Regions from separate parts of the Mus musculus genome. Here region 2 is reported to be linked to region 1. The links are microRNA targets in miRTarBase. Many come from high-throughput screens and were not tested one by one. Region 1 holds a microRNA gene; the other region holds the end of a gene's coding sequence.

Evidence for each region. The annotated mature microRNA mmu-miR-704 reads AGACAUGUGCUCUGCUCCUAG and lies in region 1 at 2,328-2,348, opposite strand. An mRNA with a match to its seed (bases 2 to 7 or 8) in the 3' UTR can be bound and repressed. Matches are read on the target gene's strand: a 7mer-m8 pairs with bases 2 to 8, a 7mer-A1 pairs with bases 2 to 7 and ends in A, and an 8mer does both.
Region 2: the mRNA of Thada is a reported target of mmu-miR-704. Seed matches in the 3' UTR shown: 7mer-m8 at 1,142-1,148.

The regions. Positions count from the first base shown.
Region 1 is chr6:47,801,263-47,805,526 of GRCm38, forward strand. Mir704 (microRNA 704) reads right to left here and starts at 2,390; the gene lies at 2,314-2,390. It overlaps Pdia4 (protein disulfide isomerase associated 4), which reads right to left. Exons shown (of 10, transcript NM_009787.2): 5 at 2,443-2,648; 6 at 2,169-2,327.
Region 2 is chr17:84,188,517-84,192,780 of GRCm38, reverse strand. It overlaps Thada (thyroid adenoma associated), which reads left to right. Exons shown (of 38, transcript NM_183021.3): 38 at 450-2,725. The coding sequence ends at 830. It overlaps Gm36279 (a long non-coding RNA gene), which reads right to left and starts at 593. Exons shown (of 4, transcript XR_385852.4): 1 at 509-593.

The DNA of each region.
Region 1 (4,264 bases):
AGGGTTTCTCTGTACAGTCCTGGCTGTCCTGGAACTCACTCTGTAGACCAGGCTGGCCTCAAACTCAGAAATCTGCCTGTCTCTGCCTCCCAAGTGCTGGGACTAAAGGCGTACGACACCACTGCCCAGCTAGTAGCCTGCTTCAAAGTTCAGCACAAATATAATATCTAAGTCTTCCATCTTAGAATTTGTCAGAAATACAAAATAATACATTCACAGAAATTTAGAACTGTTTGTTTGGAGCAAATGTTTCCTCCTATCTATGACAAGTAGCAAACTGGAACCCAGGACGACAGTACCTCTCAGAGAACATGCAAGTACCATATAGTCCTGTGACTTTACACTGAGGTTTCATACCTAGTGCCCTTTACAGAGGTTTCAAGCTCTTGTCCCGAGATTAAGAACTCTGCATTTAGCCAAATCCCTGGCTAGGCTGGACTTTCCCTTATTGGGCATTGGGCTATGCACAGTCTGGTCTCCAGCCGAGCCGAGGTCTGAACCCCAGAGTGGTGATAATTCACCTACATGGCACGGTAGGTGTTCCCTTATGCTCCTGGAACTCTGGCTCCTGTCGAAGTTACGGCCCCCACAGCCCTCACAGGAGAAGCATGGCTAGTAGTCATGTAGACAATGTCCCAAGCTTCTGACCTTCAGGCTACACTCCTCCCCAGTTATGTAGCAACAGTAAAGATAACAGCCCACCATAAGAGGGGCTGCTTGGCCCCACCTCACTCTAACCTCTCATCCTCTCCTCTCCTCGCTCTCACTCTCTCCTCTCTTTCTTACTTTCTAGCCTTTCCTCTTTCTCTCTCTTTCCCCTTTCTCTCCTCTTGGGCATGGCCGGTCTCTCTCTCTCTTTCTACCTTCTCTCTTTTCTCCCTGCCTTTCTACAATGAAGCTCTAAAACCATAGACTGTCTCTGTTCATCAAGGCCCGCTGCGCTTGGACGATGGGATAGGCTTTCTCTTAACAAGCCATTTCTGATCTCCGGATGGAAGGCCTTCCTGTGTTCCAGTAAAGGCCCAGACTAAGGACTCTCTCCTGTGTGGGAACCTCTCTCCTTCAGCCCTCTTTCCCATAGCCCCGGGGCGCCCCCAGTTGGGGGCTGCCCCTTGTCCATCCCCCACTGAGTGAGGTCAGTGGCTTAGATGTCCACCCAGGGCTGAGTAGAAAGCGTCTGGCAGTCCTCCCGCATCCCCCTGCCCAGAGAATAGGAGGAACTCTGGCCGGACTCACGCTATCCCCTCTCCCTCCTCTTCCCTGACCCCCTTAGTTCCCACATTCCCTGGGTAAATTCTTCCTGATTAGCCAAGAGCAGATGATAGTTAACTAACCAGTGAAGACTAAAGAAACACGAATTAAACTGAGCTCTTCTCTAAAGTGCTGACAAAGCAGCAGGCTGCTCTGGGTACAGCTTACATCTTTAATCCTAGCACCTCGGAGACAGAGCTGGCAGATCTCTGTGAGTTTGAGGCCAGTGTGGTCTACAGAGTAAAACCAGGGCTACACAGAGGTCCTCTCTCAAAACAAACAAATAAATCACCAGCCTGAACTGAAAGTATGTACAAGCATTGCTATGCCACGGAGAGATCAGCACAAGGTGACAAGTGACATGCTGAAAGGAAACTTAGTGATGAAGTAGACTACACTTGTGCTGTGTGAAGGGGGAAATGAGGAAAAGGTGGCACTGAGGATCCTAAAACCCACAAACACTGGCCTGATGGAGCCAGCGTGTGAGCAGTGTTAGTTAACTAGCAAGGGCCAGGACCTGAATCCAGGCCCAAGTCAGCGCTGTTCTTTCTAGGAGAGGAGGAAGGCAAACAACCTGAATTAATGTGATTGTGTCCGGTGGGGAGACAGTGCAGCTGGTTTTTCACATTTAGCATGTGATTATACACGGCACCAACTATGTATGACAGCCACAAGGACCTGACCCACAGCCTCAGCACAAGGCTGGAAAGCTAATTCCCACAGTTACTCCCTTGGTTCTTCCATCAAGCATTTGCTACACTGATATACTCTTATGGAAGAGCATTTGCTGTTTTGGTGGGGCTAAGGTTTGAGTCTAGGACCTCATGAATACTAGGCAACAACCCAATCATTATGCTAATTTTATGCAAAACAGCCTACTTCCCCCAAAGCCTCAGGAGTATGGCTTACATACTCACCAGCATCCTGATACTGCAAGTAGGCCGGGTCACCATCTCCCTGAAAGAGCCCAATGATGACCACATCATCTCCATCCTTCAGGAACTCCTGGACCTGCTTCAGGGTCAGGATCTCCTTTGAGGGAGGCCCAGACTGCTCAATCATGTAGTCAACAATCCCTAGGAGCAGAGCACATGTCTGAGGAAGATCCTTGCAGCTGACCACATCCTCTAGCTCCCAGCTGTGCAAGGGACAGTCCCTTTCCACACACTACGAGGAAGGTAGCAGCCATACCATATTTCTCTCGTGGGCCATTGTAGTCAAAAGGCCTTCCTTTGCGGAAAATTTTCAAAGTCGGGTAGCCAGAGACATCAAACCTCTTAGCCAGGTCTGTCTGTTCGGTGGCGTCCACTTTGGCTAAGGGAATTGGGGGAGAGCGCTTGCTGAGCTCCTTGGCAGCTTTCTCATACTCAGGGGCAAGTTTCTTGCAGTGTCCACACCTGCCAAAAGGAAGGCAATTCCATCAGGAATTTGTCCCAGCATGGGTTCATGTATTAGCTAAGTGAGGTGCAGAGGCCAATCCCCATGGGCCCAAGGAACTCAGTTACACCCACCAAATCTTGGAATGTCTCCTAGGTGAGAATGACAAGACAGGCCCCACAGGCACACTAAATTGTTGGAACATGAGACTCTTGTCGTTGGCATTCACATCCAAGAGGCCTGTGTGTGTAGACAGGAGCACAGCAAACTGGTAGAAAGACAAGGAAAAAAGCAAGAGAGCCACCGTCCTAAGAAGGGAGAAGATATTCTTAGAATCTAGGGGCTGTCAACAATATAAATCAGGAGTGGCTTATTGAGGAGGTGACAGCTTATGCTTTTTTGGCCTTATCTAATATCAAGTATAGACAATGGTAACAGACTAGCTGGATTCAGGGGCTGAGAGAGGCAACAATGTAAACAAAGACAGAGGACTAGAGTGTAACAAATTCTTAGCCTACAAACCAGAGCAGGAGATAAACAGGATTTGCAACTAGGATTATGATTAACAGACTGTGTAGGGGCCAAAGTAGCAGAAGAACACATGCCTATCTGACTGGCACCCAGGTTTATTTAAACTTTGGCGGCACACAAACCACCAAACAAAAAACAAACGATCCACAGCATGAGACCCCGATGACTTATATCTGCTCTCAGGCCCTCCCAGTTAACATAAACACTGCCTCCTCCAGGTCCTTAATTAAAGGGTACATCCTACAACATGTCAACCATCTGCAAGTAAAGGGTAACTCTCTTCTTAGGTACCATGAGGTTATAAGGTGCTTAATGAGCTTGCTAGGTCCACAGCTACACACAACTCCTGAGTGGTCACTGTGGAGGTTGGAATGAAATGTCTGTCTCCTGTCTCCCATTTGAATGCTTGGTCCCTACTTGGTGATGCTGTTTGGAGAAGCTTAGAGGCTGTAACCTTGTTGGAGGATGTATGTCAATAGAAGTGGGCTTTCAAGAGTTAAAAGATTCCCACCATTTTCTAGTTTGTTCTGTCTGCTTCACTCTGGTGGGTCCTCAGCTTCCTACCCCTGCTGCCAGGCCTGCACTCTGCCATCATATGGTCTATTATCTCTCTGGAACCATAAGGCCACACAAAGTCCTTCTTTTATAAGCTGTCTCTGTTATTCTCTTTCCTCACAGCAAATAATAGTAACAGTCATAAACCAGAATGGGTAGGTGACCCACTAGTACAATGTCATGTCTCACCGATCATGTCAGGCCTCTTCTATAGCAATGTAAGGACTGGCATCTCTTTAGCACTCAAGCTGGGTCACAAAAGGTGCCACTGGCTTATCTGCACCCCAATACACTACGTTATTTCCTTCCTTCTCCCCCAGTTTGTTTTCCCTTTGGGCATCCCTTTGTGTTGTCATTTCATCTGTACACCCAACAATGAACAGATATAGTGGTTTTTGCTGCAGAATCCAGAAAGCCACAGGTCTGGGTTCACACGGGCCCTGCCTGAGTCAGGGCAGACTAGCTCCTTGCTATGTATCAGCCACAGTCTCTGCCTGCTGATTCTAACACAACAACCTTCTTTTCCTTGCTGACACTCAGGGCCTCATCC
Region 2 (4,264 bases), not on the chromosome of region 1:
AACAAAGTGTTTTAGATGAAATGACCCTAAACCCCCATAGCATTCTAGAAATTTTGTCTCTTTTGTGCTGCTATCACACATGTCCCAGTAACTCTCTGCTCTGCTGTCCAGACTTCCTTTGTGCCTCCTCTGAATTTTCTCGGCACACCTTAAAACCTAAGATTTTTCTCAGTACACCTTAAAACCTAAGACCCACTTCCGCACCACCAGTTCCCCAAGTATCTTGGCTTGGAGCTAATTCACATCTTTATCAAAGGTCGTGGTCCGGCTGGGAGAGAGGTATTGAGTGAAAGTAGAAGGTGACCTTCAGAGCGGCAAGTGCTGTGGCACGGGCGCTGACAGCCCCAGTGGGCCCTGTCAGGAATAGACACAGCTCCCACATCTAGTGCTGTGCCTGGCTCCACAGGACTCCTCGGAGACTTACTCTGGCTGTTTGTCACTTGATGTAGGGGGAAGAAGAGCATATCTTTGAAAAATCAGAAGTCAACTTCTGGGCTGAGACTCTGACCTTCGTGAAATCCCTGTGTAGGCAACTCTTCCATCTCCTCTGTCAATCTGGCTGGCAGTCCCCTCACTCCCAGAAGCTCTGTCACTTGCAAAGGATAGCATCAGAGCAGAGTCACCTCATCTCTCAGCTCTTCAGAGAACTTCCACTCTCAGCTGAGTTTTTGAAGACAGTGGAATACACGAGGCTGCGCATTCAGGAGGAAAGGACTTTGGCTGTCCTGAGGCTGTTGGCCTGCCTGGAAGGAAAGGAGGGTCTCAGAGCCGAAGACTGCCCTAGGGAATGGAGACAAGTAATGGCCCCAAGAACAGAAGCAGCATGCTGAAGAAAGGTGGCTGGGCCTCAGCTCAGGTCTGCAAGACACATACATGGTGGACACCAATTGAAACTCTTTTCCTCAGGTGCCTCCCCACTTCTGGGAGTCTAGGCTTCTGTCCCTTCCTACTGAGGACCTTGTCTGCAGCACACTCATTCAAGGCAACCCAATTAGTTGCAGCTACCTAGGAAGTGAAGCTGCTGTCTGCAGGTTTACTGTCTCCAGGTGCAAGCCACCTGCAGGCCTGAACTAGTCAGTTCTATCCCAAAGCCAGCGCCCATTTCCCCATACACTGACTGCATTGAATTCAGTCTTAGCTTACATGTCTCTCTCTCTCTCCCTCTCTCTCTCTCTCTCTCTCTCTCACACACACACACACACACAGTGCTCTTTCTCTCTCTCTCACACACACACACACACACAGTGCTCTTTTGTTTGGTTTTGTTTAGCAAATACCTATTTGGTCATATTTATAAACTTTTATTCCATTTTAGTAAAGGGTATGTTTGATTCTGGGAATATTAAGAACCTACAACATGCAAATACTTGCATTTTACTATCTACCTGCCCAAGTCCTTCAGTGGTCCATATTAAGAGTCCCCACTGTCTTACCCAGAAATGCCTGCGAAGGCTAGGAACCCTTGTCACCCATCACTGGCCTCAGCTATTGGACAGAGCCTGGGGAAAGGGAAGCCTGAGCAAATGCTTAATTCATTCGGTGCCACCACTGTACACCGTCCTGTGATTGGTGGAGACAGCAGAGTGCCAAGAAACACATTTACCCACTTTAGGTGATTCCATATAGAAACCGGAAGGGTTTGTCACTTCAGGCCCAGCCCAGCTGGCATCCTCGAACACCAGCAGGTGGCGCTCTTGCACACATTATGCTGCTGGTCTAGCGCTTTTAGCCTACTCTTTTAAAACTTTTTAAAACTATTATCAGCACCTGTACATGATAGGAGGGCACCCATGCCCCAGCATGGATGTCTGAGGAAGTTGAGGGACAACTTTATAGAGCCAGCTCTCTCCTCCCGCCTCTGCATGGGCTTCAGAGATCGACTCAGGCTCAGGCTTGCAGAGCACGCACGTTTATCCACTGAGCCGCATCATGTGGCCCAGCTTACCATGCTACGTGTGCTTCCAGAGTACGTGACACCCGCAGACGCTTGCCTTCAATTCACGGCGTGGATGTGTTGCTGTAGTGTGATCCACATTCCCAGTTATCCACAAAGACCATGCCAGCCATAGAAGGAACTTGTAGGGCCTATAGCTATGTTCAGATACTTCTCAGTGAGTAGTCACTTAGAATCATGAGGAAAAGGGAGAGAGGCATTCTATATGCTAGCTCCTCCTGCAGAGACGCTGACATTTCACATGTAATTGGTCTCAGAAGAAAACCATCCTGCACCACAGAAACACGGCTGTGCTGGAGTAGAGACCTGTACGCAGGGAGAGGGAAGTCAGGAGCTGTGTCCTTCCTGGCCATGAAGAGGAACAGAAATCCCCTGGGTGGTCTTAGAAACACTCAGCACCCTGGGGTCTGTGTGGCCCTGTAGTAATTACCTAGTTAGGCAGTGCAACCCACTGCTGATGAAAAATTGAAAACCTAACATTGTTTAGTTTGTTTTGGGCTTTGCTTTTAGTTTTCTGAGTCAGGCTTGCTATTTACACTAGGCTGGCCTCAAACTTGTGTTAATCCTCCTGCCTTTGCCTCCTGAGTGCCAGGATTCCAGGCATACACCACTATACCCAGCATTACACTACTTTAAGATCTAGTTGGTGAGAGGGGCTGGTGGTGACAACCTTGGGAGATTAATTCTGAACAGGACCCAACCTTCCCTCTCCCCTTCCATCTAAAATGAAATAAAAGCAGTTACATGACAATAAAACCATCTCACATTGGCAGGCATGCTGTCCCAAAGCATGTTTCAGAGCAGGCTTATGTTATCTCCAAGTCCATCCTACCAAGTCTGCCATTAGCTGGGACTTACCCCAGACTTGGATCTTGGCTGGCTGTGGCCAATCTGGGAGGACAGGAGGGATGGATGGCTCCACAGGTGGGCTTGTATCTGCAATCCTGCTAGCAGTAGCTAGGGGAACGACTGCTGCATGCTTTCCTGAGAGAAACCAGGAAAACCTTAGTCACAGCCTCATGCTTACATTTGGGGTCCTTTCAGCCACAGAACCCAGCAGTAATAGGGGCAAGAGCAACGTGGGTGGGAAGAGTGAAGCAGCCATCTTCCCTAAGTCACTACACTTGAGGGTCCTAAGATCTGGGTGGCCCCTTGCTCAGACCACAGCCAAAAGCCAGTTTGCTTTAATATATAAGATGGTGAGGGCTTTGTTCCTTTATAGGGGTATGGTCTCACTCTCACACTAAGCTGTGCAAGGCTAGCCTAAAACTCACCACAGTTTGTGATTAGTGCTAGGACTATAGGCATGAACCACCGTACCCAACCCACTCAGCACTACGTCCAAGACACTACAGTCTTCTGGCAGCCATTGGCTCTACCTACAGGGGCAGCATGCACTGCAGTGTGGCCAAATGCACCTGGACTCAGGAGCCTTTGAGTGACAGATCTACCTCCTTAGCTTCAAGGTTAACTGATACAGCCCAAGTGCACACTGGACTGGGTCAACCAGACAGGAAGAGCAACATGGGAAGGATGTAGTTGGTCAAGCAGCCTTCTCTGGCAACTACTGGGCCTTCCACCCAGGGCAACCCGGACTGCCAGCTGGGTGAATTCATGGGCCCAACTCCAGCTTTTGGCAGCCAGTATGAAGTGTAGGGATAAAGGGTTCTGGACCTGACCAGATGGGCCTCACGGGGTGGGGGTGGGGGTCGCTAGGTGTGTGGAGGTGTGTGTGTGTGAGACCCCTCTCAAAAAGAGCCAGGGGCCTTCTGGGACTGCTTTTTCCATGGAAAGCTGGTAGGAGTTGCACTAAAGGCAACCGAATGAGGACCTCTTTCCCCCAACCTGGGTGGTGGTTCAGCAATCACCGCCTCGCCTCCGGCAGCTCACACAAAGCTTAGATTCAATGCCGCGCCTCCCACAGCAGAAGGAGGAAGGTTGCAGGATTCGACAGGCCAAGGCTGTACAGGCGGGAAGCCTTGGCTAGGAGCTGCACCCACATCCCCGAGAGGAGGCCAGGCCAACCAGCAGGCACAAAGGTGAAGGAAGTGACTTCCTCTATGTCCACACTGCTCCTCCGACTTCCCTCTAGTCCCCTGGAATAGGCTTTCCCGCCCCGGACACCCCGCGCCACTCGGCGCCTTTGGCCCAGGCTCAAGGTCTTGTGATGTGATTAGCAAAGCCAGCGCCTTGTCCTCAGACACTCGGCTCTGCCCCACAGGCCGCAGCGCTCAAGTCCTGTTTACTGAGCCTGGGCGGGGAGAGGGGCGGAGAAACGCGCCAATGCTCCTCCAGGCTGGCCGCTCCCGC